2 linked regions of the Tamandua tetradactyla genome follow. Each later gene encodes a partner of the first gene's protein in a complex. Links are inferred from orthologs where the notes say so. Each region holds a gene or a part of one and is shown on either strand. Other genes may lie near its edges. The genes, in order: FLT1 and VEGFB.

Region 1 (14,993 bases):
TGTACTTTCTGCTCAATTTTTCTATAAACCTATAAGTGCGCTAAAAAAAAAAGCCTATTAATAAAAAAAAGATACTGGATTTGCAAGAAATTTTAGCACTGTACTCATGCTATTTAACAAATGTTTAAGTATCTCCACTCTGTTGGGGGTAGAGGAAATAGCTTAAGAAGCAACGTTATCTATAGTATGAACATTAGGTTCTCTTTGTGAGTCTGCCCCAGCCAGCTGTTGTTGACCTTGAAAAAAAGTCACAAAACTTCTCTAGGCTGTTTTTTTCAACTCTGAAAGTCTGCTGGGTCTATGAGGTTCTATCTGGCTCTCCCAACGTATGTGTCAAAAGACAAGATCAAGTCTCTCTGATTCTTTCTCAAGAATCAGAGAAAGGACCAGACATCAGAAATGGCTTTTAAGCACCCAGGTTTACCAAGACTGATGGGAAATCCCCAGGAATTTTGACATCTTTCCACATCCGCCTGGCTGCAATGCAGGAAATCTAGTGCACTATCTTCGGCAGACTCAGTGGAACCATTTCCTCAGGGCACCCCCCCCTGCAGTGCCACTGGCTGAGCCAAAGGCTTTCCTCTCAAGTCCCCCCTCAATTATCCCATTCTCCCATTTCCTTTTTTTGGGGGGGTGGGGTGGGGATTTCAGTCACCTTTATTCATGGCAGACATTTTTGGTGGAGAGACTGCCTTGGAAATCTTTCTCCCCCATTACTTACAGAACCCAACTCCCATCTAAAGCCAGATTCTCTTTACTACAGTAACAGGCAAGATCATCTCATTTGCCATTTACTAGGCTTGAGCACCTCCTGCCTCAGTTTCACCCGGCCTTGCCTGGCAAGGGTGTAAGGACCTCCTAGCACCACCCACAGGCCCACTCAAAGTTGTTTCTGCACCTGGGGCATAACAGTCACTAATCCATTTTATTACTGGACAATTTTACTCTTCTGTTCCCATATGACTTATAAATAGGATACACTATTTCTTAGTAGTTTTATATATTTGTAATAAAATCAGTCAAGACTGGCAACATAGGAAACAAAAAAATCATACTCTGTTCATTCAGGATTTTCTCTGTCAAGAACTATACTATCCCTCAACTTCTAAAATTTTTCAAATGTTTGTTATATAAAGTCATTCTGCTGTGACAATCACATGAGTCTCCTCTGAGGCCAATAATACTGGCCTCTAGGTTTAGCATGCCTGACGCCACATTTTTGAGTGATAAGAATTTTTACCCCCTGGCTTCTATGAGCAATAATAAAATGGCTACTCTGAAAAAATTTAGCTAAGAAATTGTTAGATAAAATAGTAATTCTTAAGACCTCATCCTACTACAACAAAATCGTGTGTCATTTTCAGCCCAGCGACTGACGCGGGCTTATTGTCTCTTTGTCCATTTCTTTTTCCAAGGAAAAGACAGAGTAAGTGAATTTTAGAATCCTGCCAGAATTTTTATGGTAACCAGCACAGATGAGCATTGTAGGGTTCTACAGTATTAGAATCCCATGCAAAACTCTAACATTCAATTCCACTAGGCTATTCTGTTGTTTTTTTGTATTAAAAAATCCTAACACACTAAAGTAGCAGAAGTTACTTCTCATCGACTTTAGCATCTATTTCAGGGACTTAAAACAGAAATAGATCTGCAGTTTGATTCTGAGTTTTGGTAAGAAGTTAGTGCCAAATATTTCTGAATAAACAATTTTTAAACCTTTTTGGCCAGTTGAAAAATACTGCCAACCTACTATTCGGTGTTAGTTCAATAGCCACTTTGTGCTGAAAATTTTAAACCCTAAGCTCCTCAAAGATCAAACTTCACAAAATCTACTCATAATCAAAGGATTTACCATGTCTAAATTATACCCCTTTTTTTTTTAAACAGCAACCACTATAAAAAGAATGCCAGAAAAAAGCAACTTCACAAAATACACTAAAATATTTGACAATATTATGTACGAACTGCCAGAGTTTTAGTGTTTAGTTTTGTATTTAGTAACATGACTGACCAGGGTCCAAGATGTGAATTACCATGTTCAAGAAAAAGGGGGAAAAAATCACTCTGAAAACGAACAATACAGTATATAAGAAGGCACACTTTATAATATAAAATCTGTGTACACACAGTAGTTGCAAAAAGCCATTAGGTCTTCTCTTGGCTTGTGAAAAAGGTGTTCCAGATTTCTCTGTGAATTAGCAACCTTTCAGTTCTTTCACCCAGTGTCATGAGGTCTGCAATGTTTTTCTCCAGATCGTCATATCATCAGTTCTCCCACTGATTTCATCCCACAGAATTTGAAGTTTATCTTGCATCATTGCTAGAGTGTCTGCACTCCCAAGGCGAGATCCTGCGAGGTCTCTGGGCTGGCCTCGACCATCTTCCCCATTCCCAGCTTGGCGGTGAAGTCTGGGCCTGTGACCTACACTTCCATTTCCTTTTGCTTCCTAGATCTTATATAAAATCCAGCAATTTAACCAACAGCCTGCAATTTCCAAGCCATCCAAGTGTGTGAGGAATCAGCAACGATCCTGGAAAGCATCTGGCAAGAGATCTTGTCATTCCTTTATTGGCTTCTCTAATGTACTAAGGTCAATGGAGCAGAATGGATTGTTCTACTCTGTTAAATTGCTTAAGCCAAACCCAACAGCTGTTTTTATGCTTTTAACCACTCAGTTATATATTTTTACTTAAAAAAAAAAAAGAATGAAGCTGGTGTCATTTCAAATGACCTTCCTCCTGTACCCACAATGACAAATACACTGATGAATTATCCTGACTTGATAGTGAACATACTTTAAACCAAGCAATGGAACTAGGAACATGATATAAATGGACTCTCTTATATCAGCAAGCTTTACATTTAAAACCCCAAGCGCCAAGATAAGCTTCCCTCACTTTCTTTCCATTCCCATATCCCTTCTCACACACACCTCAATTTAAAGCATTACAGAAGCTACTTACTGTTGTTTGTCCTCTTCTTTTTTTTTTTTTTTACATGGGCAGGCACCGGGAATCGAACCCAGGTCCTTGGGCATGGCAGGCAAGCACTCTTACCTGCTGAGCCACCATGGCCCGCCCGTTTGTTCTCTTCTTGCCATTAAAAACAGATCTATTCCAATGCTGAATGATGCAAGCCAAGGTAAACCTCAGGAGTAACCTCGGTGCTAAATTTTTTTGGTCAATATAAACCCATTTTTCATAACATATTTTCAACTGCTGTGTTATATCCTTTCGGAGTAGATTTAGAAATGTCTTGATTTTGGAAAGGAAAAACAAAGTGATTTTTGGTTTGCTTCTAAGAAGTCACATAAAATGGGTTCAGGAACTCTTAGAATATAGTTAGTTTTGATCAAATAAGTAAATGTTATTTAAAAAAAAACAAGAAATGCATAAGGGTTTAAAATGACTGCATCCTCGGAAAAGTCAAATCATCTAGAGTTAAGAAGTAGTGTCTACTTCATAGGGCAGCCCCCAAAGCTTAGCTCTTTGCAAAACACAGCTCACAAAAGACCAAGTTAATTGGTTAGTCAGGTACCTTCTCTCAGTGCAAAAAAAAAAAAAGTAATGTGATCAGTGATAGCTGGGGAAACCCCGGTTTATTCTTCTAGCCCTGCTCTTGCATCATGTGGCTTATCATCCATACTGTATACAAATGTAGATAAGGGGGCCAGAAAAAAGCTAGAGACAGACAGTGTGTCATGCTATTTCTTGGATTCATTCATTGAATGCAAGATTTGGAAAAGTGCCTTAGAAGTCAACCATCTATATGCCTTCTGCTTTTTTACATAAGAAAACGAAAAACCCACGTGGTGATCACTAGAAAAGAAACTGGATAGACTAGCATAAAACTGATAGCAGAGAAAGAAAGAAAAAAAACAAGTCCTAAGTCCCTATTTTAACAGCTATTGAGGGAGTAGTCAGGTGGCTACCTGCAAGGCATCTGAAACAGGTTCCACCAGTGGGAAAACTATGCGGTCTCCTGAAGGTGCTAAATAATTATTTTAAATATGCAATTTACAAACACACCAAAAAAAAGTGTGGCTTCACAAACCTTGGAAAAAATGACAAAAATAGTTTCGCAATATTAGGTTTCTTAATGAGACGCTTATTGATATTTTATTGGAAATGTGTACTATTTTCTTATTTTTGGTATAAACTTATGATTAATTGGACTTCCCTCACAGATTTACAATTTAAGCATTTCCAGTGGTTATAGAAAATTGTAAACGTCAGCTGCTCAAGAGCTCAAGAAAACTGAGGGCAGAAAAAAAAAGGATCCGTGGCTTTAATTAATCATGGGCCTGATGCTTAGAAGTAAAAAAAAAGGGGGGGGGGCCTACTTGGAACCGGAGGAAAGGAGGACTGATACATTTTATGGAGGAAGAGACGGCAATGCAGAGCACTTGAAAGGACCCTAATTATGGGCATCTTTTTATTTCCCAGGATATATGGAAGAAGAGAAATGTACTCTTTGGGGGAAGTTCATAATCTTTTTGCGTCATTGACACACCGGTTATTTCACATCTTGGTGACCCAGCGCACATGCGCGCTCACATATTATTAATAACTGATAAATATTCAAAGGCTACAGCACCCGAAGGACTTAGCAATAGGTGGAAACCAATTCCTAGTAAACCCAAAGGGTCGAAAAGTGGCAGTCTGCGTTTCAGTTTGAATGTCTTAACGCGGTTTAGTCTTGAGCTGTTCGTTAACCAGCGGGGGGAAACCTGCGGGTTCCAAAGGCGCGCTTTGCCATTTCCAATCCCCACCGCAGACGGAAATTCCGGAGACAGTCAGGTAAAGGGGTTCTCGCTTCGCCCATGTTTGTCCCTCCTTCTTCCCGTAACACATATATAAATTTTTAGAACTCACAAAAGAGTTCCAAGATTTCTGTCCCATAAAATAAAATCTGAGAAGAAATCACGAGAGAGTTCCACGCGAGCTTCTGTAGCGCTCCCACCGATCGTAATTGCTCTGGTCGCAAACAGAACTAGAGGGTCAACCACATTTTGGAAGCAGAAATAAAGCTGCCTGTATTTATAAGAACATATCATTTCCCCCGACATTTTTTGGATTCACAGTAATTTGCCTAGATTTCCTTTGCATGATAGAGCAGCTTCTTGGGCAAGTTATTTAAACGCTCTATGCCATACATTTCCACATAAGTGACTTTTCAAAATGCAGAAAGATGTACTTTTTATTTGATGTAGTTATTTTAGCAACTTTCCCAACCTGTAGCCACTTCTCAGAAACCCTGCCTCCCGGTTTCACCAACTTAATTGGAATTATTTCTTGCTATTTAGAAACTGACGGTCTAATTGTCTTCCCACTGAGAAGGAATATTTAAATGCTACTGCCGTCTGGGCTTAACAAGCATTGTTATTATTATTATTATTTTTAAACATTTCAACCCTACTGACTTCAGGCCGAGAAACGTCGCAATGACTTTTTGTTTTATGTTATTATCTTTTATTTCACATTTTACCTTTTCTCCACGATGCTTAAAAGAAGGCGCTCCGAGATCCGATTCTCTGCGCCCAGGACCCGACTAGAGGGCGCGGCCCCCCGCGCGCCTGGGCAGAGACGACGAGTCCGAGCCCCTAAATCCTCCCGGGCTTTGCCTCCATGGCCAGGGCCAGCTCCAGACCAACTGCCCCTGGAAGCTCCTGGCCCCTGACGGCGCCGCCGCTGTTTGCCCTAACGCCTGGCAAAGGTAGACTTAGGAGGCGGAGCGGACCCCACGGCATCTTTTGGCCCGAATCGTGCTTTCTTTGCTCAGAATTTAAAGGCGAGGCTCGCAATTCAGAAACTTAGCGGTTTTGGGGTCCTCGGCTGCCCTCGTCCGTCCGGGTCACTCACATCGGCGACCTGGTCTGGACCGGTCACCGCCCGCCCGGAGCAGGGGCTCCGCCGGCTGACTGCGCGCAGCGCGCTCCGGCCCGCGGTGGGGAGGCGGCCCCTGTTCCCACGACAGCCCGGCTCCGGGACCCAAGTGGGGCGAGGGTGACAGCACTTGCCCTCTCCCGGGATCCGTCTGGTCCCCGCAGGCACGCGGTTCCCTCCGAGTCTGCTCTGCTCTTTCCCACTCTCGGGGATCTAGGTCGCGGCCGGTGACTGTCGCCAACGCCCGGCCCCGCACACTCCGCGGACCCGCACCAGGTCTTCCCGGGGCAGCTGCGAGCGCCGGCAGGTTCCGGTGCGCGACGACCCCTGGCGCCCGGAGCCTCCGCGGGCAGATCCGACCCGCGAGCCCGCAGCGCGAGCAGTAAATCTGGCCGCCGGGCCGAGAGGGTCGGAGAGGATGCGGAGGTCCTCCGGCAGCCGTTCCCCAGGCGCCGGCTCCGGGCACCCAACCGCCGGCGGAGGAGAAGGGCACCGCGGCGCAGGCGGGGCCCCACGGTGTGCTCCCCAAGTGCCCCGGGAGGCTCTCCCGGGGGCAGCCTCCCCTCCCGCCGGCCCTGCGTGAGGACACCAGGTCCACCTGGCCCGACCCACGGGGTCTGGCTCCCAGCCGCCCCATCCCGGCCCCGCCCGGCCCTGGCGCGCGCCCGCGGCTCACCTGTGAGAAGCAGACCGCCGAGCAGCGCGCACAGCAGGACCCCGGTGTCCCAGCAGCTGACCATGGTGAGCGCGACGCGGCCTGCTCGCCCGGTGCCCGCGCTCTCCGCGGGTCAACCACCCAGCAGCCCGAGCCCGCGCTCCTGCGCTCCGCCTCCGGCCCCGCGCTCCGGCCCTGAGCCCGAGACTTCCCTCTGCGCCGCTCCAGCGAAGGGGACGAGCACCATGCACCGGTAATCCTTGCAGCCTGGCGCCCGCTGGCCGCTGCGCCCGAGCCCCGGAGCCCGCTCCGAGCCGCCGCCGCCGCCGCCGCCGCCGGGGAGGAGCCGCGAGGAGTGTCCGCTCGGCGCGCTGCCCGAACTCCCGCGGACCTCAATTAAGAAGCGCCGAGGGCGGGGGCGATTTATAACCTTTCCCCAGCCCACTTCCTAGCCCGGGCACCTCCTTCCAGTGACGTCAAGGGGTCCCCCACCCCTCATCCGCCTCCCCACCTGCCCTCCTCTTCCTCCCGCGACCCGCTGCCCGACGGCTGGAGGGAGGGGCGGGAGGGCCGGGGGCGCGCGCGGGGCTCGGGAGCGCGGTCCCAGCAGGTTCAGGGTCCTTCCTCCCGCCTCCCGCCCCCACCCGCCTCCAGTCCATCGCGGTCAGGAAATCCTCGTAGGCTCCTCCGCCCCAGCTTACTCAGCTCGGGGGGCGGCCGGGGCTGGGGAGGGGAGAGGGCCGGAGTTTCACGCCCGACTCCGGGGCGGAAAGTCCGAGCGGTCGCCCCTCCTCCAAGCCAAGGGAAGTGGGCCGCGCCTCCGCGACGGTGTCCTTGGCACCGAGGAGTGAGGCCAAGTCGGGCGCCCTCTCCTTCCCTGCTTGTTCCGCGCCGCCCCGCCGCCCCCAGCCCTGCCAGACGGTCCGGAGCCGCGTAAAAAGAAGCCGGAGACCCTGGGCGCAGAGCATTTGGCTGGAAGCGCCCCGAAGTGGGGGGCTGATGCCTGCCTGGCACCTTAGAGCCCAGGGCGAACACACTTGGGTCCCCGGGGAGCGCGTCTCCGTCTTTTTTCCCCCCTTCCAAGTCATTTCCTCAACTCTCTGCTTCCTAAAAGCAAAACAAGGAATAACGTGATAATACCTTTAAAAAGGCGGAGGCGTGAAACTGCTCCTGCAACTTATAAGGGCTGAGCGCTTGAACTTTAGTCCCTAAATCTCCTTGCTGGGTGGCGGCTGTCTGCGCACGACGGGAACAAACCAGTTCAGTTCACTGGGGGCACTAGATCACTCGCGATGACATTAATTCCACATTGTCGCTCCACGAAGTCTCTGTTTACCTCCACGGCTAAAACCGTTCCGGCTCCGCCGGGCACCCTAGTCTTGTCTCTGTTAAGTAGCGCTGGTTTAAAAACGTAATTCTTTTTGGAACCTGCCAGGTCACGATAAAAGGACTGTACTGGCTTCTGCACCGGGCCAGCGACTCTTCCCGAGCGGCTGGACCACCGCCCTGCCTGGGGAAGGTTGGGCAATGCCCAGTTGCCACATCTGTGGGCAGCACGGCCCGCGGCGAGGCCGCAGCACCCCGCGGCCCCCGCAGGAAGCCAACGCACGTATGCGCACCTGGAGGCCCGGCGCCCCCGGCCTGCGCGCGGCGCGGAGGAAAGGCAGCCCCTGCGCACCGACGGGGCTCGTCTGCCAGCTTCTTGCCATCTCTCTCCAGCTTGTTTCCAGCGCCTCGCCACACTATTGCCCTCCGGGTTCTCCCTGGCTCCTTCTCTTTGCCACCTCTAAACCTGTCTCCTACAAAGCCGCAGGATTGCCCGCGTTCATCCCCCCCCCCAGCCCCGGGCACAGCTCCGCCTCCCCACCCAGCCAGTCCTACCTCTTTTCAGAGCTGCTTGTCGCTTCCACCGCCTGTCCAAGGTGCGGCTGTCCGCATCCCCCTTCTCCAGCACCTCACAGGGTCCAGGCGTCGAGGTCGGGCCTCAAATATTCCGAAGAAAAGACGTCGTCTCCGCCTTGGAAAGGGCTTCGAATTTGACGGAGAGGCAGAGTGAGAATTACAATGCTGGGGGGTGGAAGGGAGTGCTGACTACACAACGGAGCAGAAAAGACAAGGCACAGAGAATTGCCCAGGAACGCAAGGAGAGGCTTGAGCTGTCTGTGGGGAAAGGGGACCTGGAATCCCTATTTCCGTAGTGCAATCTACAAAAATTTAATGCAAACTTTAGAATTTTTTTTGCATGGACAGGCACCGGAAACGAACCCCGCGTGGCAAGCGAGAACGCTGCCTGCTGAGCCACTGTGGCCCGCCTATTAATGCAAACTTTTAAATACTGGTTTTTTGGGGGGAGGGGGGATAACTTTGTTTTTAAAACACACCGAGAAACAACTCTTCCCAAACCTGCTGCCAGGAATGAATTTGACAAACTTTATAATTGGGTAAGCAGATCTAAGATGCTAATCGACAATAATACTTTACCTTAAGTTTAAAACAGTTATGGTGGTAAGGGGTACAGTATGTATGGACCTTTTTCTTTCTTCTTTTTCTTTCTTTTTCTGAATTGATGCAAATGTTCTAAGAAATGATCATAGTGATGAATATACAACTATGTGATGATATTGTGAGTTATTGATTATATACCAAGAATGGAATAATCATATGGTAAGAATGTTGGTGTTTGTATGTTGTTATGTTTAAAAAAAATTAAAAAATTAAAAGACAAACTTCACATAAAAGACCTTCAAAAAAGCAAAACAAACCAACCAAACGAAAAACAGTCATGGTGTATGCTAACAGATTTACACAAAGACCATTCCGCAGTAAGGGTGGTCCCCTCAAATACCCCAATTATCCCTTTGGAAATTTGCTGGCTTCTGATTATATTTAGCATTTTGAAGAGTTTTACTACTTCCTCTTTTGTGAGCCTCCTAACAAAAAACTCAAAATGCTACAAGTTGTCACAGGGTTTTGTTAGTGATTTCATTTACCTGAGGTGTAAGGAAGGAAAGCATAGCTGTCAACCTCTCCTCGGAACAGAGAACACCATTGAGTGAGAATGGGCTACAGCCCTCTCCTGCTAAGCCACAAATGAAAGGGGTTTTATAGATAATGGTGATGACAAAGATCAAATTCAACGCGCCTGGTGGGTATAAAAAGCTATTGAAGTGGAGTATCTACCAGCTTCCTGCTCCCGTACAAAAGACCATTTCATCTCCTGCCTGGTTGGCAAAACCAGACTCTCTCGTTATCAGCTACAAACATTCTCTGGAGGATTCTTCCCAGTCCCCATTCAGAACCCAACTGGTACAACCAACAGCTTTAGTTTTCAAACCTGGGGCATCAGTGTGACAGGAGGTAAGCCAGGGTCTCATCTTCCCATCATAGACCAAGCAGGCAAATGAGGCTCAATCACAGTTCCATCCCCACGTGGGCTAGTTAGCCTTATACAAAATAATAAAATAGACTCCATGGCTGCATTGTCCATACTATAAACATAGAAGGTATATCTCAAGATTCAAATGACCTTACAAGACGGTTCCGTGTTATATGAAAAATAACTCACAATACTGCCCATTTCATAGTTTCAGTTTCCTTGATCTACGAAGCACAATCCCAAACCTTTTGTAGAAAGATCACTGAGTTCACCAGGTGGGCACATCTATGGTTTTGGTTGTGAGACATGTATAAGTCCACTGATGCAAAAATCTCACTCATGGCAACCTGCCGTGGTGGCTGAAAATTCTCCATTTCCAAAGAACATAAACACACGGTACTGGTCTTAAAAGAAATGTAAGGGTGGTGCACCTGGGGCTCAGTGGCAGAATTCTCACCTGCTGCTGGAGACCCAGGTTCCATTCCTGGAGCCTGCCCATGTAAAAGAAAGGGGGGAAAAAGACATTTAACCCATTTACTGAGCTAATTCATGGATTTCCTTTATCACATCCTTTTCAAATAGCCAGCCAGCTATGCTCCAGTATCTTTAAATGGAAATGTATCCAGCATTCAAACACCCACCTCCTGTGCCTTGGACATCCTCGCCTCTCTAGGCTCAACGTCCTGGCTCCTTTTGTCCTTTCCCAGATGACTTGTTCTTTAAATCCCCTCCAGCTCCTCTCAGCAGTTCCAGTTCATCAGTGTCACTCCAAGTGAGAGACTCAGGATTGAAAATGCCTCGGAACTATGATTTTCCTCCTCCTAGAGATTTGGAAGAGTAGAGGTGAAAGAGGAAGGGAAAGTAGCTCAGCTGGTAGAGCACTAAGGTTGAGGGGGAAACCTCCTCCTAGAGGTGTAAAAGATGGGGCCAGTGCCCACAGTGCACCCACCTGTTAGATGGGTGCAGGCATGGGGCCAGGAACTCCCTCTCTCCTCTAGGGTTCCACAGGCTTCAACCCGTTCCTGACTCCCTGCTCCTTTGTAGAGGCTGCTTACTGCTGCTGTGCCTCTAAGATCTCATTTTGATTTATCTGGTTTCTGGCTGCGTTTTGAGGCTGTGGATCCCAGTCCTGGAGTCCTGGCTGGCCCTGCTCCTACATTTAGTCCCCAGGGACTGTGACACAGACACTACACGTCTGCTATGGCAACCTGAGATCAAAGGAGCATTTTCTGTTGACCACTTCATACTGGAGCCTCTTAGGGAGCTTGCTGTTGATTCAAATCCCTCAGGCTTTTTCACAAAGGCTCTTGTCTGCCTGTCCTTGTACAGCCATAGCTGTTGAGGACTCAAATGGCAGACCCTTAGAATCACTTCTACTAAACTTCTTTTTTTGGTTTGGTCCATTTTTCCAGCCTGTTGACATCTTTTTGGTTTCTAATTCTTCCAAGCAGTGCATTTTCTATAACTCCTGCTTCAAATTATCCATAAATATGATTTTAAAAATGCCCTGAAAAAGTTATTTAGCCTTTTATGAATAAAGAAATCTGCAGAGGCTGAATAAACCATGGAAGGACTCAGATCACTCCTTTATTCATTATCTCTAATATATACTCACCAAATGGTGCTGCACATGAACTTGTTAGCATTTACCATGACATTATTTAGGATAACTGAAGATTCTAGTAAGAGGAATAAGGCAGATAAACCTTACCCAAGGTATTCTAGGAAAGTTTAAAAAAAAAAATGGTCCAGACAGATAATTACAGAATCCTAGGGAAGAAAAAAGACAAAAAATAAAAGATAGTAATACCTAAAAGGAAAATAGTAGGCCAAGGAAATCTGTATAATGACCATCTAATCTTTTTTCATTAGCTAATTTGATCATTTTATCCTAGCACTTAACTGCCAGCCATTGACATTTTCCCTTATTCTCTTTTCATATTATATTACTTTTTTTTTAATTTTTAAATTAATTTTAAGAAAAAAATTACAGGAAAGAAACACAAACATTCCCAATATGTGATCATTCCATTCTACATATATAATCAGTAATTCACAATATCATCACATAGCTGAAGATTCATCATTATGATAATTTCTTAGAACATTTGCATCAATTCAGAAAAAGAAACAAAAAGACAACAGAAAAATAAAACGAAAACAGAAAAAAAACCATACACACCATACCCCTTACTCCTCCCTTTCATTGATCACTAGCATTTCAAACTAAATTTATTTTAAGATTTGTTCCCCTTATTATTTATTTATTTATTTATTTTATTTAATTTTTTTTACATGGGCAGGCACCGGGAATCAAACCCGGGTCCTCTGTCATGGCAGGCAAGCATTCTTACCTGCTGAGCCACCATGGCCCACCCCTTATTATTTATTTTTATTCCATATGTTCTACTCATCTGTTGACAAGGTAGATAAAAGGAGCATAAGACACAAGGTTTTCACAATCACACAGTCACACTGTGAAAGCTACACCATTACACAATCATCATTAAGAAACATGGCTACTGGAACACAGCTCTACATTTTCAGGCAGTTCCCTCCAGCCTCTCCATTTCCTCTTAGATAACAAGGTGATATCTACTTAATGCATAAGAATAACCTCCAGGATAACCTCTCAACTCTGTTTGGAATCTCTCAGCCATTGACACTTTGTTTCATTTCAATCTTCCCCCTTTTGGTCGAGAAGGTTCTCTCAATCCCTTGATGCTGAGTCTCAGCTCATTCTAGGGTTTTTCTCAATCCCTTGATGCTGAGTCCGAGTTCATTCTCGGATTTCTGTCCCATGTTGCCAGGAAGGTCCACACCCCTGGGAGTCATGTCCCACGCAGAGAAGGGGAGGGTGGTGAGTTTGCTTGTTGTGTTGGCTGGAGAGAGAGGCCACATCTGAGCAACAAAAGAGGTTCTCTTGGGGGTGACTCTTAGGCCTAATTTTAAGTAGGCTTGACCTATCCTTTGTGGGGTTAAATTTCATATAAACAAACCCCAAGATTGGGGGCTCAGCCTATAGCTTTGGTTGTCCACACTGCTTGTGAGAATATCAAGAATTCAAGTTGGGGAGGTTGAATTTTTCCCGTTCTCACCATTCCCCAAAGGGGACTTTGCAAATACTTTTCCTCTTACTGATCAAATCACTCTGGGATTCATTGGGGCATCACTCTGGACAAACCAACAAAATCTCATGTCTTACCCAAGGTTCCATGTACTTATGTTGTTCAACCAAGCTATTTACATAAGTTATATTAGGAAATGCACTAGTCAAAATATAAATTTTGTACCAAATAAACATTTTTTGCTTTAGTCTCACACATAAGTTGAAATTGTAAAATATTAATTACCATCAATTTCATATTTTATTACTTTTAATGCACTGTTTTGATTACAAAATATAACATTTTAGAAAGATGGAAATGGGGAAGGACTAAAGACGGACCCATAATCTCATCATTTCGGCATGACCCCTATGCTCACCTCAGTGAATTTCATTCTATTCTTTCTCATATAGGACCCTTTTATTTTTCCATGTTTCTAAATAGCTTTTGTAATTATCATATTTAATAGCTGAAGAATATCACCCAATTTCGCCATTATAAGTCATCCAAAAATCATTTTAATTTGACACTGGTAGTTTTTTTTGCCCTTTGGATACACACACACTCAGTCCCCCTTCCTCTCCTCCCCACAAAGGAACCCTCTTCACATACACACACACACACACACACACACACACACGTTGTCATTCTTGCCTCACTTGAAACTTCCTCCAGCTTAGTCCAGCAGTGGAGCAATCAGAAAGAGAGGGCTCATGTCACAGTATATGATCCAGTACACGCATCCTTTCATTCAGTGAATATGTTTAAGTGCATGCCCCAGACACAATACTGAGCCAGTCCCGTTGAAAATGGTAACATGGGAGACATAATGATTGCCCCAGAAGTTCTTCTAGGATAGTTGAGAAAGTCACACTTACATGAAACATTAGGAAACAATTCTAGGTGAATTAAAAGTAAGAACAAGATGAGATGAGTGCTAAAAGGAATTACCAATGACTAAATTGGGAAGTGGGTCTTTGAGCTTTGAAGGAAGTTACAAGTTCATAGCAGCAGGGAAGAGAGGAAGTTCTGGAAAGGAAGAAAAGGGAATGTCAAAAGTCAGCTCTGTGAGGAGGACAGCATGGAGGAGGATCCAGAGACAGACGAAGGTCCTGGGGAGTGGGCGAACGGGGCTTGTGGAGGAAAGGTTGAGGAACCTTGAATACGTGGCGGGTAAATCTCAACACACTCAATCCTGTCAATTCTAGGAAGGGGTGGTTTTAAGATGGGTGGACTGGCAAACAGTGAATTAACGGTGGAGACTCAAGGGAATGAAATCAGCTCTTAAGAAATAAATTTATGAAGAAACAAATGATTAGAAGTTGACAGGACAGGAAAGGAGGGGAGGGATTGGGATGATGGGAAAGGACGAAGCACAGGGTGGCCCTGGCTAGAGTTCAGAGAAGGAATGGAAAAGACAATAAACTTTGGGGTTGAGATGAGATGGAGAGAAGAGCCAAAGAGAAGGCTAAGGTTCCCAGCAGGGCTCTAAGAATAGCTGAGCATTACCGGATGGGAAAGTTGGAAAGGCTGCTGGGAAGGCAGGGGAAGAAGAGGACATGTTGGTTTCAGCCACATTGAGGTGAGTGGGCGTTTGAAAGGAGCCTCCTTTATTTTACTGCTAGAGCCGAGGTACTAGAAAACTGATCATCAGGTTGGTGTACCCTATCTCAGGACAAACATTGAGTCTATATGTAATGTATGAGTTTTGTGTGATGGCGGGAACATTTATTAAAAGCCATAGATTTAACTTCTACCTTTAAGTAAGTAAGGGAGACTAACTGAGTTCTCCATCTTCAGCCTCCCCTTTCAAAAGTTCCCCTAACTCCAAACACACCCTCAGGGCAGGTCTGCTGGCGACGTCAGTGGAAGACCATCCCTTTCCTTCCTGCACCTCTTCCAGCCTCCTCCCAGACATGCTCTTCGTGTGCCCCAGCAGCTGCCGACCTTCACCAAGACTCCCTGCCAC
Region 2 (14,762 bases), on another chromosome or scaffold:
AGGGAAACTGAGGTGCCGAAGGCAAGACTTGCCTAAAATCACACTGTACGCCAGCCTCGGGGCCCACGGAAGCCAAGTCCCCGCGCTCCGGGCTGGCGACTCCGAAGCCCGAGCGGCGTGGGGAGGGAAGGCTGGCGTCGGGCCTGGCAGGGCGGAGGCGTCAAGGCCGGCCTAGGACAGACAGACGCACAAACATCAGCGAGACGGAATCAAGACCTACAGGCGCACGGTCTGCAGGGGGTCAGGCGGCCGCCCCCAGCAGGGGCCTGGAGCTCCAGGTCGGGCCAATGAGAGGCCGCAGAAGTAGGGGGCGGGCACTTCCGTTCCGGAAGGGGGCGGGGACTGTGGGCCGCGCCTGCGCCTGCGCGTGAGCGCCGGGAGAAGGCCGACGCTTCCGGACCCGGGAGGGCTGTCAGCGCGTCAGGGCTTGGAGGCAGGACCCCTGGGTTTGGGGGACCTGGGTATTTGGGGGTGACTGGACCCAGGACCCCAGGGTTGTAGGGGTGCCCCAGAGTTCCAGGGAAGCCTGCCCAGGTATCCAGCTGGGACCTGGCGAGGATGGCAGGACACCTTACTGCCCAAGCAGTGGTCAAGGGGCTGGGGATTCCCTCAGGAAGACTGGGGCAGAGGGGGCCTGCTGCCGGGCCCAGGGGTGGCCAGGAGACCCTGGAGGTAACAGGACCGGCTGTGTCCTCCCCCAGAGCCGCCCTGCTCAGACCATGGACCCCGAGGTGTCCCTGCTGCTGCAGTGCCCCCAGGGTGGGCTTCCTGAGGAGCAGGTGCGGGCAGAGCTGAGCCCAGCCTTTGACCGTCACCCACTGCCAGGAGGGGACAAGGACATCGCTGCCATCTGGGAGGCCCGGCTCCAGGCCCAGCCCTGGCTCTTCGACGCCCCCAAATTCCGTCTGCACTCTGCCACCCTGGCACCCATTGATTCTCCAGGCCCACAGCTCCTCCTGTGCCTGGGCCTCACTTCCTACCGAGAATTCCTGGGCACGAACTGGGCCAATTCGGCTGCTTGGCTGCGACAGCAGGGGGCTGCCGATTGGGGTGACAGGCAAGCCTACCTGGCGGACCCGCTAGGGGTGGGTGCTGCATTGGCCACTGCAGATGGCTTCCTCGTCTTCCTGCGCCGCTCTCGGCAGGTGGCGGAGGCTCCTGGGTTGGTGGACGTGCCTGGGGGGCATCCTGAGCCTCAGGTGAGCACTCAGCTGGGCACAAAGACCTGGACAGCTCCAGAGATCTGGAGCTCCAAGCCCTCCCAGCTTTGGTTTCTGCATTCCTTAATGTGGCAGTAAAGCCTGTCCTGGCTGTTTGGAAAGAGGTACATGCTGGGCTGGCCTGGTATACTTCTGCTCAGGGCAGCCCCTCAGCCTCCCCACTGACCCCTGCCTCAGCCCTGTGAGAAGCTGGAGAATGGGGGATTGTGGGGGTAGAGGAAGCAGATACCCTACTTCACACACCCCTGGCCCTGTGAGTCCCCTTTGTACCTAAGCCTCTGGTTGTCCATCTGGAAAAGAGGGCCCGGGGCAGGGGAATCACCAAGACTTACACCATGTCACCCCAGGCCCTCAGGGCCAGTGAATACTGGCAGGACAGGCTGGTAAAAGGTGGGGAGCAGGGTCTGAGCCTGACCTCTCACAGGCCCTGTGCGCTGGTGACAGACCCAGGCATGACAACCTCCCCGGGGAGCTGGTGGTACAGGAGCTCTTCTCCAGTGTCCTGCAGGAGATCTGTGATGAGGTGAGTGAGAGGCAGCCCAGGCAGGGAGGTGGGCATGAAGGGAGAGGGTAGAACATGTCAGAATTCCACAGATCCGGGCCGGGGGGTGGGTCTGCAGGCATTTGGCTGGCATCAAAGGAAGAACTTGGCTCTGCTGCTGAGCACACTTGGACTGGGACCTTAGGTTTGTGAAAGAAGAGTAAATGGGAGTCCTAGTTACTAAATCCACTTTCCTTGGGTGACCCCACGCAAATTGTTCAGTCTTTCTGATCTTGATTTTCCCGTCTGTAAAATGAATAATACCATACTGGGCACTTGATCTATAAACTGTAAAATGCTGCACAAAGGTAAGGGGCTGTCTTCTTTCTGGGGGTGGGGGGTTGGGGTGGAAACTGACAAGTGGGACCCCTGGCCCCAGGTAAACCTGCCGCTGCCCACCCTGAGCCGGCCCCTGCTGTTGGGCATTGCTTGCAACGAGACCAGTGCCGGCCGGGCCAGTGCCGAGTTCTTCATACAGTGAGTGGGCTCTGGGGGACAGGATGCTGGGTCCTGGGGTAGGTGGCTGTGGGGCAGGGCTGAGACACCCATATGTCCTTTCCCAGGTGCAGTCTGACTTCCGAGCAGGTGAGAAAGCACTACTTGAATGGGGGACCCGAGGCCCACGAGTCCACAGACATCATCTTTGTGGAGACAGAGGTGCGGGTCGGCTGCGTTTTGCCTGGGCTAGACTGAGTCCCCCAGATCTCACGGAGCTTTCCTCCGAAGCCTCAAGGCTTCCACTTGGGAATGCCTTTGGCCAAGGGTGAGGGCGAGCTCACCTGCTCCAGCCCCTGACATGTCTTCCTCTGGAGGGTGCATTCCCGAGAGCTCTGCAGCTCAGGCAGAGGTGAGGGCTGGATGTCTGGGTCTCCCTGCCTGCCCAGTGGCCTTCACCACTTTCTCCCCCACAGAGCCTGTGGAGGCTGCAGGAGACCCAGGGCTGGGCCGAACTCTGCCCCTCAGCCAAAGGCGCGGTCCTCCTCTACAACCGGGTCCAGGGAGGACCTGCCTCAGTCGCCCCACGATCCCCAGCCCAGTCACCACGGCTCTGAAGACAATAAAGGACTTTATTCTTGGATTCTGTTGGTGTCTGCAACTTCCACGAGATACAGGCGCCCACTGGGAGTGACTGAGCGAGACAGGGCAAATGACTTGGGGGAAAAAAACAACAACACACAAACAAACCCAGCCCCGCTGCAAGCTGAGGCCGAGGGCTGTGTCCGCTTCTTCAGGCCCCGGGCCCCACTGCTGGGTCACCGCGGAGCCGCGTCGGCTGGACCCAGGCTGGGCCCCGCCCGCTTCCCACCAGGCCGGCCCGCGCCTGTCAGCACGTCCGGGGGCCGCGGCCTCGCAGGCGGGGCCGAGGCATCAAGGGCCAATGGGCGTGCAGGGACGGGGCCTTCCCCGCACACCTACTCCTTCCGGCCGGTGGGCGTGGCCCTGGCGTCTAAACCAATGAGGGCGTAGGGGCGGGGCCTCCGAATAAGCGCAGGAAATGGCGGTGGCCGTGGAGTCCGTGAGTGGGGCAGGGGCGGGGCTTAGCTGCGACTCCTCCCTTGCCCGCCCCCACCCCCAAACTCCCTGGGCGAGTAGCAGGGGTGGGTGGGTCTCAGCGGCGTCCGGAGCTGGTGGTCGGGACACCAAAGGACCAGCGAGGGGAAGGGCCCCGGAGCAAGGAGGCCCTCAGCCTTCTTTCGCAAGATCTCTTCCCTCTGCCCCCGGGGTGCCTGCTGTCTCGCCCCATTCCGGTCCCAATGCACACCTCTTTGCGGTCTCCATTCCCCCAGCTGCCCGCCCGCCGCCATGCCGCCCCTGCGGCCCCTGCACCTGTGCCGGCTGTGGCCCCGCGGCCCTCCCTCCCGGCTCCTCGGAGAGGCTGCCGGGCAGCGGTGAGTCGGGCGTCGGGGGCCCGGGCCCGGTCGTTCGCTGGGTGTTCGTGGAGGACCTGCTGAGCTCTAGTCCCTGCCTTCTGTGCTGAGTTAGTTGTGGTCTCTCTCCCCTGAGCCAGGTGCCTTACGGGCTTGGTCTCAGGTAACCCTCACCTTCTGTGATTAAGGGATGACCCCAAAGACATCCAGCAAGTTCAGTGGCAGACCTGGAATTCGAGCCCCGGTGTCGTTCAAACCCAGTACGCTTTCCCCAACACTAGTGGTTGTCAAACGTCACTGCATAACCCACCTGGGGAAGGGGGAGAGCTGCAAAAATGCAGGCACCTAAGGCCTGACCTGGATATTCTGGTCTGGAGGAACGAGGTGGAGCTCAGGAATCAGTTCCTTTAACAAGCTTTTCAGATGTTTCTGATGCAAGGGGTCAGAGAACCACAGACTGAGAAGTGTTGATCTGCACCATGCCTGACATCTTAAAAAGGAGGCGTGTTTTGGGGATAGCTCTGCCTGGGTGCCTTCCTCAGCCCCTACAGCTCCTGGCTACTGAGTCGAAGAGTGTGGCCCAAAGAGGTGGGGTAGAATGGGGAGAGGAATATCCCCTGGGTTCCCTCAGCTCCTGCAGGTTAGGGCCTCTCTCCACAGGTCTGGCCCCACTAACTACTATGAGCTGCTGGGGGTACATCCTGGAGCCAGCGCTGAAGAAGTGAAACGAGCTTTCTTCACCAAGTCCAAAGAGGTACCAGTCGCTCTATGTGGGGCCAGGGGAATCTGAGCCAGATGTAGTGGATTGGAGTTCCCAGCAGTGAGACTGAGATAGAGCTGAGCTGGTGCCACATTCCCTCAACCTGCAAGATACGGAGTGGGAGGTGCCTTAAGAATAGAGAGTCCTGGGCCAGGCAGGAGGAAAGGCTTGGGCAGGAGCCGGGGGTCCTGCCTGGGTTGGGCTAGGTTCTCTTGACCTGCTTGTCTGCTCTTGATTGAGAAGGCCTAGAGCAGAGCACACAGTGAGAGAGGGTATTGGAGGAGACCTAGCAGGCAGGGAGGGCTTGAACAAGGGCAGGGGGCAGGCGTCTGAGCTTCCTGACCCTCTGGCCTTCCAGAAGGGTAGGCGGACCTGAATAAAAAGGTCACCGACCAGCCAGGGCCTCTGGGAGTGATTTGAGCCCTTGTGGGTGGACATTGTGAGCATGGCAAGGGAAATGAGGGTAGCCCTGCCCTACCCCAGCTGCACCCTGACCGAGACCCCAGGAACCCGGCCCTGCACAGCCGCTTTGTGGAGCTCAATGAAGCATACCGGGTCCTCAGTCGCGAGCAAAGCCGCCACAGCTACGACCACCAGCTCCGTTGGGCAAGCCCCCCGAAGTCTCCAGGAACCACAGCCCACCCTAGGCCAGCCAGCCACACACACAGGTACAGCAGTCCCGCCCCCAGCTTGCCCCCCTCCCCCCCCCAGGGAGACCTCATCCCCACATTATTCTTCTTGCTCCCTCCCAGCAGCTCCTGGGAGCCTCCCAACGCACACTACTGGGCCCAGTTCCATGGCGTGAGGCCGCAGGGGCCTGAGTCGAGACAGCAGCAGCACAAACACAACCAGCGGGTGCTGGGGTACTGCCTCCTGCTGATGCTGGCAGGCATGGGCCTGCACTACGCCGCCTTCAGGTGTGTCCCTGCTCTCCCTGGGAGGATGGGCAGAGGGCAGGAGGGAGAGAGAAGCTAGCATGGGGAGCCCCTGTGGCTCCCACCTTTGTATTCTTCAAGCTGAAAATTGCATGCAGTCCAGCCTTTGCAGCACTTGGCAGAGGCATGGGTGCTCATAGCTAATGCTGTCACTTCTAGTTTTTCTTTATTTGAACGTAAACCTTTGGCGCCAGCTGCCAGGAAGCACTGGAGCCAAAGAAATCATCAACAACAAGCAAATGCCTTTTAAATATGGTCTTGCCAGCAACTGTCCTCACTCACCCGGGAGTCTCCCTACCACTCTCCCTTCCAGGCGTGCCAGGCAGTGATTTTCTAAAGCAAAGATATATAAGGCCCAGTGCCCGCTGCTAGCAGCCTGCCCAGTTCAGAGATGGGGTTAGATGCACAACCCTTTCCAGTCTTCTAATGCAGCACCCTGATGTCCAGTGTCACTGTCAGCACCTTCAATGTCACAGCTAGGGATGTGGTTGCCGCTCGACCCTCGACAAACCCTGGCCCACTCTGCCCCTCTCTCCACCTATCACAGGCAAAGTTAGGCTGCAGTACCCATAGGTGTAAAACTTTGAAGTCCTGGGGAAGCAGGGAGGGCAGGACTTGGGGGGCACCAGGGATGGGGAGCCCAGGGTTAATAACAGTCCCCTTGCAGGAAGCTGGAGCAGATGCACCGAAACTTCATGGATGAAAAGGACCGGGTCATCACAGCCATCTACAATGACTCGCGGGCCCAGGCCAGGTCTGTCCCTGTTCTTTCCTGCCCCCACCTTACTGTCCTGGCACGGTCCTGCGGGATGGCTTCCCCAACCACCCAACTGCTCTCTCCGCCAGAGCCAAAAGAGCAAAGCTCCAGCAGGAGCGACAGCAGAGGCGGCAGCAGTCGCCAACGCCGCCTCCCCGGCCTCCTCAAGACCCCGGGATCGTGTCCCCAGGCGCCAGCCCCTGAGGGGCTCGCCCGGATGGCGCCTGTCGTGTGTCCTCCTCTGGCTCCACTCCCGGAGCCCACCCCCACCCCCAAACGCGTGCAATAAAGTGATTTTTAGAGCGCCCGTCTGACTCCCTCCTTCAGGCCCGGTGCCCCCCACCCAGGGCCTCACCATGGGAGCAGCGCTCCGCCCTCCGGGTTCTGGAGGCCGCAACCCGGGACGGGAGTCCGGCCCCCTGGGCGGTGCGTCCCCTTTCCCCGGCCGCGGCGGGAGGTGGGGGGGTGTATGGAGGGGGCGGTCCCCGCCAGCGGCCTCCCCCCCCCACTTCCCCGCAGCCCCCGCCCCGCCCCCGCCCCGCGGCCCGGTGGGGAACGCGTGTCTGGGTCACATGAGCCGCCCGCCCGCCAGCCCGGGCCCGGCCCCCCGCTGCCCCCGCCGTTCCCGCTGCCTCCCGCCGCCGCCGGCCGCCCGCCCGCCCGGCTCCTCCGGCCGCCGCCGCTGCGCTGCGCTGCGCTGCCTGCACCCAGGGCTCGGGAGGGGGCCGCGGAGGAGCCGCCCCCCGCGCCCGGCCCCCGCCCGCCGCGCCCGGACCCGCGCCATGGGGCTTTGGCTGCCACCGCCCCCGGCGCCGCCGGGCTAGGACGATGCGGGCGCCCTCGGCGCGCGGCCCCCGCGGGCACCATGAGCCCCCTGCTCCGACGCCTGCTGCTCGCCGCGCTCCTGCAGCTGGCTCCCGCCCAGGTACGACCGTCCCCGCCATCCCGCCCTCGCGCCGTGCCCTCTCTCAAGGTTGGCGGAAGTGGGGAGGCGCGGCGCGCCCTCGGCCGAGGGGACCCGCGGGGCCCAGCCAAGGAGCCGGGCATCGCGGGGGCTCGGTCCGGGCATCTCCCGGAGGGGCCCCTCCCCGCCTACCCGTCCGCCCAGCCATGGGGCCACTCCCTCGCCCCACCCAGCCCCACCCAGTCCCACCCCGTCCCTAGGGCGCAGCCGGAGGCGGGGCCACCTCTGTGCCCGCAGGACCCGGTTTGGCGCCCACGGTGCCCCCTCCCAACCTGCGGCCTCCAGAACAAGCCCAGCCTCGAGGCTTGGAGATTCCTCGAGGCTTGCCTGCAGAGCTCCCCAGGCGGGTCATGGGCCAGGACAGGTCCCAGGTGGCCGGTAGAGGACAGGTAAGGCTAGAGCAGTGGCCCCAGGAACAGATCAATCTGGGAAGACATCAGAGAGGTGAAGCCTCCTGAGCACAAGGGCAGCCCTGGAACAGCACCCTGGACAGCCTGTCCTAGAGGGTGCTCCAGGTTCAGGGAGGTATTCCCCTCTCACCTCTGGTCTCTCCTCTCCCACAGGCTCCTGATGGCCAGCCTGAGATCCCCAGCCACCAGAAGAAAGGTAACAGTGATGGCAGTAATAGTAACTGCCAACACTGAGGGTCTGCCACCTGCCCGGGCTCCGGGTTTCATTATCCCATCATACTGTGTAATCACAACTCACTTATGAGATGCAAACTGTTACTCTGCCCATTTCACAGAAGGGGGAATTGAGGCAAGGCAGTGGGATTCCTGGGGTCTGCATCAGCAGGGCAGGGAGGACAGAAGACAGGGAGAGGATGGTGGTGACATGGGACTAGGGAGAACAGCTGCTGGGAGGGGAGAGTAGGGGAACCAGGGAGCAGCTGCAGGAAACCCAGTGGAAACTTAACCCCTCCCGCCCGGTCTGCCCCCAGTGGTGTCATGGATAGACGTGTATGCCCGCGCCACCTGCCAGCCGCGGGAGGTGGTTGTGCCCTTGACCGTGGAGCTCATGGGCACAGTGGCCAAGCAGCTGGTGCCCAGCTGTGTGACCGTGCACCGCTGTGGTGGCTGCTGCCCTGACGACGGCCTGGAGTGTGTGCCCACTGGGCAGCACCAAGTCCGAATGCAGGTACTGGGGCCCCGGGAATGCACCCTCGGTGCAGGAGGGGGGGGAATGCCAGCACTCTGGGGTTAAGACTGGGGGCCTAGAAGGTTGGTGTGTTGGCAGCCAAGGTCCTCTTTGTCTCACCATCTTGTCTTCCTGTCCTCCTGAGCACAGATCCTCATGATCCGGTACCCGAGCAGTCAGCTGGGGGAGATGTCGCTGGAAGAGCACAATCAGTGTGAATGCAGGTGCCAGCCAGGCCCAGCTTCTGCACTCACAAAGACCAGGCTTGGGGTGCTGGGTGTGATGGCACCTGGGGGTGGAAACCAGGTTTCTGGGAGTAGAGCCAGGGGTAGGCCTGGGATCTGGGAGAAGAGAGTGGGATGCTTGGATTTCCTGATCCTCCCTCTCTTTCTGTGTGTCCGTCTCTCTTAAATTTTCAGACCAAAAAAAAAAGAGAATGCTGCGAAGCCAGACAGGTAAGCGTCTTGGCTCCCACTAAGGTGGGGTTGGAGCTCAGCCCCAGCCCCCAGGATGTCCCATGGGGGCAGGGCAGGGGTATATGAATGTTTCAGGAACCTGTGGTCCCCTCCCCTTTTTCTCCTCCCATCCATCTCCCTTTTCCCTTCTTCCCTCTGTTCCCCGAATCCACTGTGGTCTGACCCAACCCCAGCTCCCGGGAAGACGCTGCCTTCCCACCCTGGACATGTTGCTTCTCCTCCTAGGGCTTCCACTCCCCACCACCGCCCCCAGCCCCGCTCTGTTCCGGGCTGGGACTCCGTCCCCGGAGCACCCTCCCCAGTTGACATCACCCATCCCACTCCAGCCTCAGGCCCCTCTGCCCACGCTGCTCCCAGCGCCGCCAGCGCCCTGACCCCCGGACCTGCCGCTGCCGCTGCCGACGCCGCAGCTTCCTCCGTTGCCAAGGGCGGGGCTTAGAGCTCAACCCAGACACGTGCAGGTGAGGGGTTTGCGAATGGGTGTTGGGGAGGCATCAAGGCTTTGCCCTGGAGCAAGTTCAGGGCAAACCTGCCAGTGGGAAAGCAGCCAGGGGAATGGGAAGTTGTTGAATGTGTTGAACAAATATTTACCAGGCGCCTGCTGGCACTAGGACAGTGTAAGAGGGATCGCATTCTGGTGCGGGAGGGGGATCCGAGGGCAAATGATGCCGGCCGCAGATGGCGCACGCTGCATGGGGGACGTCTGACCACTCCTGCAAGAGGTCAGAGAAGGTACCCTGGAGGAGGTGCCATCTGACTGTAGATGTAGAATGAGGGAGACAGTGTCCTAATTTGCAAAGCTGTGAACCTTCCCAGAAGCCTTTAAGACAGACACTGATCCCACTTTATGGGCTCTGAGAGTCCAGGGGATGTGTGGAATCCAGTTTACCACCCCTACCCGAGGCGTTTCTCACCCCTCTACTCCACACCAAGGCCACAGGACAGGGTGTTTTCAAGTCAGGTGGGGCTTATTAGGATTCTTAGGAGAGAATGGGGTTCACAGAAGGTAGTAAGAGGGTAAACCAGAGGAGCTTGGGTGCAGCTACAGTGAACAGACTCCCTTCTTCCCTCCTTAGGTGCCGGAAGCTGCGAAGGTGACACATTGCTTTTCAGACTCAGCAGGGATACTTCCCTCACAGGCCATACCCGAGAGGGGGACAAGAGGGGAGCCTGGTGAGGACAGCCTAGCCCCCAAGACCTCAGCTGGGGTGCAAGCTGCTCCAGGACCTGGGTCTCTCAGAGGCCTCTCCTGCCATCCCTTGTACCCCCAAGACTGACATCCAACATGGTGGGCACAGTTGAATGAGGAGACATGAGGGCATCCAGAGGAATCATGTACCAATTTGGAGGAAAATAAGATTCCTTCTATTTTAACCATCCTGTGCAAGTAAGCATCTTACACCTAGCTCCTCCCTGCCCCGCTAAGAAGACACCAATCCTCTGCAAGTAATGAGATTTGGGTTTTGGTACAAGGGCTGTGATCCCCCAACTCCGATAAAAGAAAAAAAAAAAAAAAGATGGAAGGAGCTGTCCCTGCCTGTGTCGTTTGTCACTGTCCAGGCTGGCTGATTCGGCATGAATATGCATCACATTGCCTTCAAGAGGCAGAAGTTGTGTTCTCTCTGCAGAGGGGACATTCACTATGACTTCAGGGGCAGAGGTTACCCCAAAGCTGCTACCCCAACAGAAGCTTTTCTGGGGTGTGACATTGGAGGGGGTGGTAATGATTTCGGTGGGCTGGAAGCGGGAGGGGAATTAAAAGGAAGAAGACAGTTTCAGGAGACATTGATTACTATTTTCAAATCATTTTCTCAGCCCTGATGTTACTCATCATGCCACCTGCCAGAGTGAATCACATGAGGGTTAGGGGCCCTAGAGCTACCATCTCCTCAACCCACTTAGCCTGCCAGACAGCCAATGCACTTTAATTCTCAGTGAGGTTGGTCCTGGCATTTTCTTTTTATATTTGAGTAACCGAACTCAGCAAAGCTAACGGACCTGGCGCTTTGACCCCAAAGTGCTCCCTGACATACCATTTAGGATTGACTGCCTCCCGCTGTGGTTCTTTACTCCAATTGACACATGTTCACTGGGCACTGGTAGGTGCTGGGGTACTTGAAAACGACAGTCTGATGGGGGAAACAGGCCCAGGCAGACTCAGTGATGACTCGGTGGTCAGTTAGCAGCAAGTATAAGTCAGCCCGAGCACTGAGGGAGAGAAAGGTAAAGAACGTTCGTTGTAGGCTGGGGCCTGGGCCCAGTGCTCCACACCAATCCTACAGAAGTCCTATGTTACAAGGCCCGTGTTCCCAGGGGAGCTTCATTCTAGCAGCCCAAGGACCTTGCTCAAGGTCACACAGCCAATCAGTGAGTGGTAGAATCCGAATTCAAACCCCAGCCTAACTCTGAAGACCCGGCTGTTTCTACAGCAATTAAGGACTGTACATTATGAAGCAGCTCATGGGCAAACAGGGCGACCGGGGAGAGGCTGGGGGCGACAGAAAATGGCGTCTCAAGACCCCCGCGGGGAACCCAAGACAGCGTGACCTCAACTTCACCTCTGCCGGAAGTGCCCTCGGGCCTTTCGGAAGTCACTTTCATCTAACCTTACTCACTGCCGCCCACCGGAAGTGACGCAGGGGTCACGCGGTGGCGGGGGAGGCGGAGCCAGGGAGGAAGCCGCCCCAGCGGGCTTGGGGCCGCGGGTTTCGCACGGTCCAATGAGGGAGGGCGGCGTGGCCCGGTCTGGTAGCGGCGACAACGCGCCTGCGCAAAGGCAGCCGCACAACTGGGGTTGAGTCCGGGGGCGCGGCAAGGAGGTGAGCGGGGGCCACAGCCCAGGCTGGGGGAAGCCGGGGTGCAGGAGGGCAGCTTGGCCAGGCCGGGCAGGAGCGGGCCGGGGCTCCGAGTGTTAACGACGGATAAGTTAAGAGGAAATTGGGGTTTGGGGTCGGAGCTGCCTGGGGATGCCGCAGGGGGCGGGACCGCACGCTTCTAGGGGTGGAGCCCCGGGACTTGGGGCGGCCGGGGGAGCCGAAACGGGTGGGACCTCGGAGCCGGTGCCAGGGGGAGGCGGAGCTACGCGACGGGTGGCGGAGCCAGGGCCGGTGGGGGGCGGGGTCTGGCGCTTGGAGGAGGAGCTGGAACCAGTGGAAGGCGGAGCCTGGGGTTTGGAGGCGGAGGGGGACGGAGGCCAGGTTCTGGGGGTGGGGCCTCAGGCAGTGAGAGGCGTGGCTACGGTTCAGGAAAAGGGGTCTAGTTCTGCCGAAGGCGGGGCTCCAGGGCAGGGGGCGGAGCCACTGTCGGTGAAAGGTGGGGCTAAGGAGCCCACCGAGGGCCTAGCCCCGGGTAATGGCTCGGGGCGTCCATGCGCGGGTGGGCTGCGTGGAGGCCGGGCCTGGGGACGTGATAGACCAAGAACTCCCCCAGGAGAGGTGGTGTGGGTGGAGCGGGCTCGACGGCCACCGGACACGGGGCCAGTGTGGGTGCCCCGGAGACCCCCGAGGGCCCAGAGTTGGGGCGGCGCCCCGGGAGGAGACAAACAGCCCGGCTGGGGAGCCCCTCCGGAGGACCGGGGCTCTCCGGAGCCTCCCAGCGGCGATGTGTGGGTGCCTCGGGGTCGGCCTCCTGCAGCAGCCGCAGAGGTGTGGGTGTGCTGGGTCGGGGGCAGCTGGGTGTGGCGTGAGTGGGACCGCCCCGTCGGGGCGTCCGCTGTGCAGCCGGAGAGAGTTTGGACTTTACGCAAAGGGACGGGTGGAAACTGAAGAGTGGGACCGGGGAATGGGAGGGAGGGAAGGTCTGGGGGAGAGCAAAGGGGCGGGGCCCTGGCAGCTGTGGCCTCCCCTGACCCCCTCCCCCCGCTGCTGGGGTCCTCGGCCAAGCCCCCTTCTCCCTGGACTGGTAAGTGTGGCCGCGGAGTCCGGGGGAGGGGCGGTGACCCGGGACAAGGGAATCAGCAGGGGCAGGCATGATACAGCGGGAGCGGGGTAGAATCCTCCAGGCACCTGCCTGTGTTCCATGCCTTCTCTGCCCTCTTCCCGGTCCGGCGGGATCTGTGCCTGCAGAGACATGAGGCTGAACTGGGTCCTGGCAGTACTGTCCGTCTGCCTGAGTGCCCTGGCCACGGTCGCGGGTGCCGAGGGCAAGCGCAAGCTGCAGATCGGGGTCAAGAAGCGGGTGGACCACTGTCCCATCAAATCGCGAAAGGGTGACGTCCTGCACATGCACTACACGGTGGGTGTGGGAGGCGGAGCTTTGTGGGGTGGGTGGGGCTTCTGGGAACCAGAAAGGACTTGGGAGCCAGGTTCTTCCACTAACCACGTGGAGAACCTTGGGCAAGCTCCCTCTCCCCTGGAAGCCAGTTTTCTTGATTAAATCCTGCCCTGGACTGTCTACTCCCCAGGTTGGCACCAGCAAGTGACCACAGCGCGCTGTGAGCTGCCCAAGGCTTTGCGTCCTTCAGGGACTGTGGCCACCAGTGCTGTGGGGGCCAGCTTGATGGGGGGGCAGCTGGGGGGAGAGGGGACTCAGAGCGGTCCCCTCCCCCTCACTGGCCCTCCCACCATCCCACAGGGGAAGCTGGAGGATGGGACGGAATTTGACAGCAGCCTGCCACAGAACCAGCCCTTTGTCTTCTCTCTTGGCACCGGCCAGGTCATCAAGGGCTGGGACCAGGGGCTGCTGGGGTGAGTCGGGTCCACGGCTGTGGTCCAGATGAGCCATGGGAGGAGGGCCCCAAGGGTGGGGGTAGGGCGCCTGGGGCCTGCCATGTGTTGAACATGTGTCTTCCCGCAGGATGTGTGAGGGGGAAAAGCGGAAGCTGGTGATCCCATCAGAGCTAGGTGAGAGACTTCCCCAGGGAGGAATGGGGACGATCTGGGGGTATGTCTGGGGAAGGGGGTAGGAGGAAGGGGGAAGGCTGGTTCAGCCTCTGTGCTGGTCTCCACCCCATCCTTTCATTCCAGCACTTGCCTCTGCCCAGACTGGCCTGGGTCCAGCAGTGAGAATAGGGCAGTATCCTTTAGACACTCAGTTCTGGTGTCCACTTTCTGCCCTCTCTTCTTGCTTTCTCCATCACACCTTCTTTTCTGACCATCTTGTCGAGCTGGAAGAGGGCCTGGCCACAGCTCACTTTGTTTCTTTGTGTATCTTCAACAGGATATGGAGAGCGGGGCGCTCCCCCAAAGATTCCAGGTAACATACCTTCCTATGTCCACCCCCCCGCCCCCTCCCCCATGCTGCCATCCCTTCTCCCTGTAGCCTTGTTTCTGACCCCACTTCTCCCCTACAGGCGGTGCAACTCTGGTGTTCGAGGTGGAGCTGCTCAAGATAGAGCGACGTTCAGAACTGTAGCCCATCTGGGGAGGGGCAGCTGGGGGAGGCCCCCCATCAGGGACCAGACTGTTTCAAAACAAAACAAAAACCTTAAAGCCCAAGGAGTGAGCCTGTGTTTCTTTGTGGGCCCTGACTCGAGACCACAGCCTCAGCTTCTCCTTTCCCTCAGCTACTCCCCCCTTCTCTCTTCCAGGCAGCAGAACCTAGGGGTCTAGGGTAAATGGCACGGGAGTCAGGATGGCCAGCCCTGGGTGGCATGGTAGCCCTTGCCCAGAGGGAGAGGCAGGTTTCTTGCCTGCAGACAGCATTGGCACCGCTCCCCAGCCATTTCACCTCCTGGTCTGGGAGCCAGCACTGGGCTATCACCATGGCTACGTGGCCCTCAGGAAAGCGTGCGGCCACCTGGGGAGAAGCTGAGCTGGCAGCAGTGGGAACGGTGTGTCCCCCCGAAAAGAGACCAGGCAAGCCTGTGAGCTGCACCAAAGGTATATCCTAGCTTTATTAAAGGGCCCGCGCCGCAGAGTCAATATAAAAACACAAAAAGTCCCATCAGTTTAATAACAATAAAAAACCCCAAAAATGGAAAACTGAGGGGGCAGGGGAAGAGGCCCCTGGGCCAGGGGCACAGGGAGCCCTGCTCATGGCACCAGGCCTGGCCGCAGGGCCCCCCGGGTATTGCTGTTGCTACGAGGTCGGGGGGCAGCGATTGTCCTGTGGGCGCCACCGTTCACCCGGGTCCGGGACCCTTACTTCTTCTGGGGTGTGCTCAG

Evidence for each region.
Region 2: the proteins of FLT1 (region 1) and VEGFB are in contact, whole or in part, in a crystal structure (PDB 2XAC), measured with the Homo sapiens proteins. The link is inferred for Tamandua tetradactyla from reciprocal best matches to the Homo sapiens genes FLT1 and VEGFB. Residues at the interface, in NP_002010.2 of Homo sapiens: Tyr139, Glu141, Pro143, Phe172, Pro173, Tyr199, Ile202, Gly203, Leu204, Asn219, Leu221, Arg224, Thr226; in NP_003368.1 of Homo sapiens: Ser37, Trp38, Ile39, Tyr42, Thr43, Thr46, Cys47, Gln48, Pro83, Asp84, Asp85, Gly86, Leu87, Cys124, Arg125, Pro126.

What each region holds. Positions count from the first base shown.
Region 1 is NC_135330.1:193,740,085-193,755,077, forward strand, and holds the start of FLT1 (vascular endothelial growth factor receptor 1), read right to left. Parts: upstream 6,692-14,993; 5' UTR 6,627-6,691; coding exon 6,563-6,626; intron 1-6,562. UniProt on the Homo sapiens protein: Tyrosine-protein kinase that acts as a cell-surface receptor for VEGFA, VEGFB and PGF, and plays an essential role in the development of embryonic vasculature, the regulation of angiogenesis, cell survival, cell migration, macrophage function, chemotaxis, and cancer cell invasion.
Region 2 is NC_135335.1:10,403,411-10,418,172, reverse strand, and holds VEGFB (vascular endothelial growth factor B), read left to right. Parts: upstream 1-6,946; coding exon 6,947-7,006; intron 7,007-7,271; exon of another isoform or gene 7,272-7,608; coding exon 7,609-7,651; exon of another isoform or gene 7,652-7,985; coding exon 7,986-8,182; exon of another isoform or gene 8,183-8,332; coding exon 8,333-8,406; intron 8,407-8,601; coding exon 8,602-8,637; intron 8,638-8,883; coding exon 8,884-9,097; coding exon of another isoform or gene 9,098-9,119; intron 9,120-9,249; exon of another isoform or gene 9,250-9,371; intron 9,372-9,734; coding exon of another isoform or gene 9,735-9,756; 3' UTR 9,757-10,190; downstream 10,191-14,762. Other genes in the region: uridine diphosphate glucose pyrophosphatase NUDT22, read left to right, coding at 720-1,199, 1,645-1,743, 2,141-2,238, 2,325-2,418, 2,673-2,813; DNAJC4 (dnaJ homolog subfamily C member 4), read left to right, coding at 3,565-3,650, 4,290-4,383, 4,873-5,057, 5,142-5,306, 5,992-6,078, 6,171-6,285; uncharacterized protein LOC143646665, read left to right, coding at 11,625-12,422; peptidyl-prolyl cis-trans isomerase FKBP2, read left to right, coding at 12,727-12,891, 13,231-13,343, 13,453-13,499, 13,816-13,851, 13,949-14,010. UniProt on the Homo sapiens protein: Growth factor for endothelial cells. VEGF-B167 binds heparin and neuropilin-1 whereas the binding to neuropilin-1 of VEGF-B186 is regulated by proteolysis.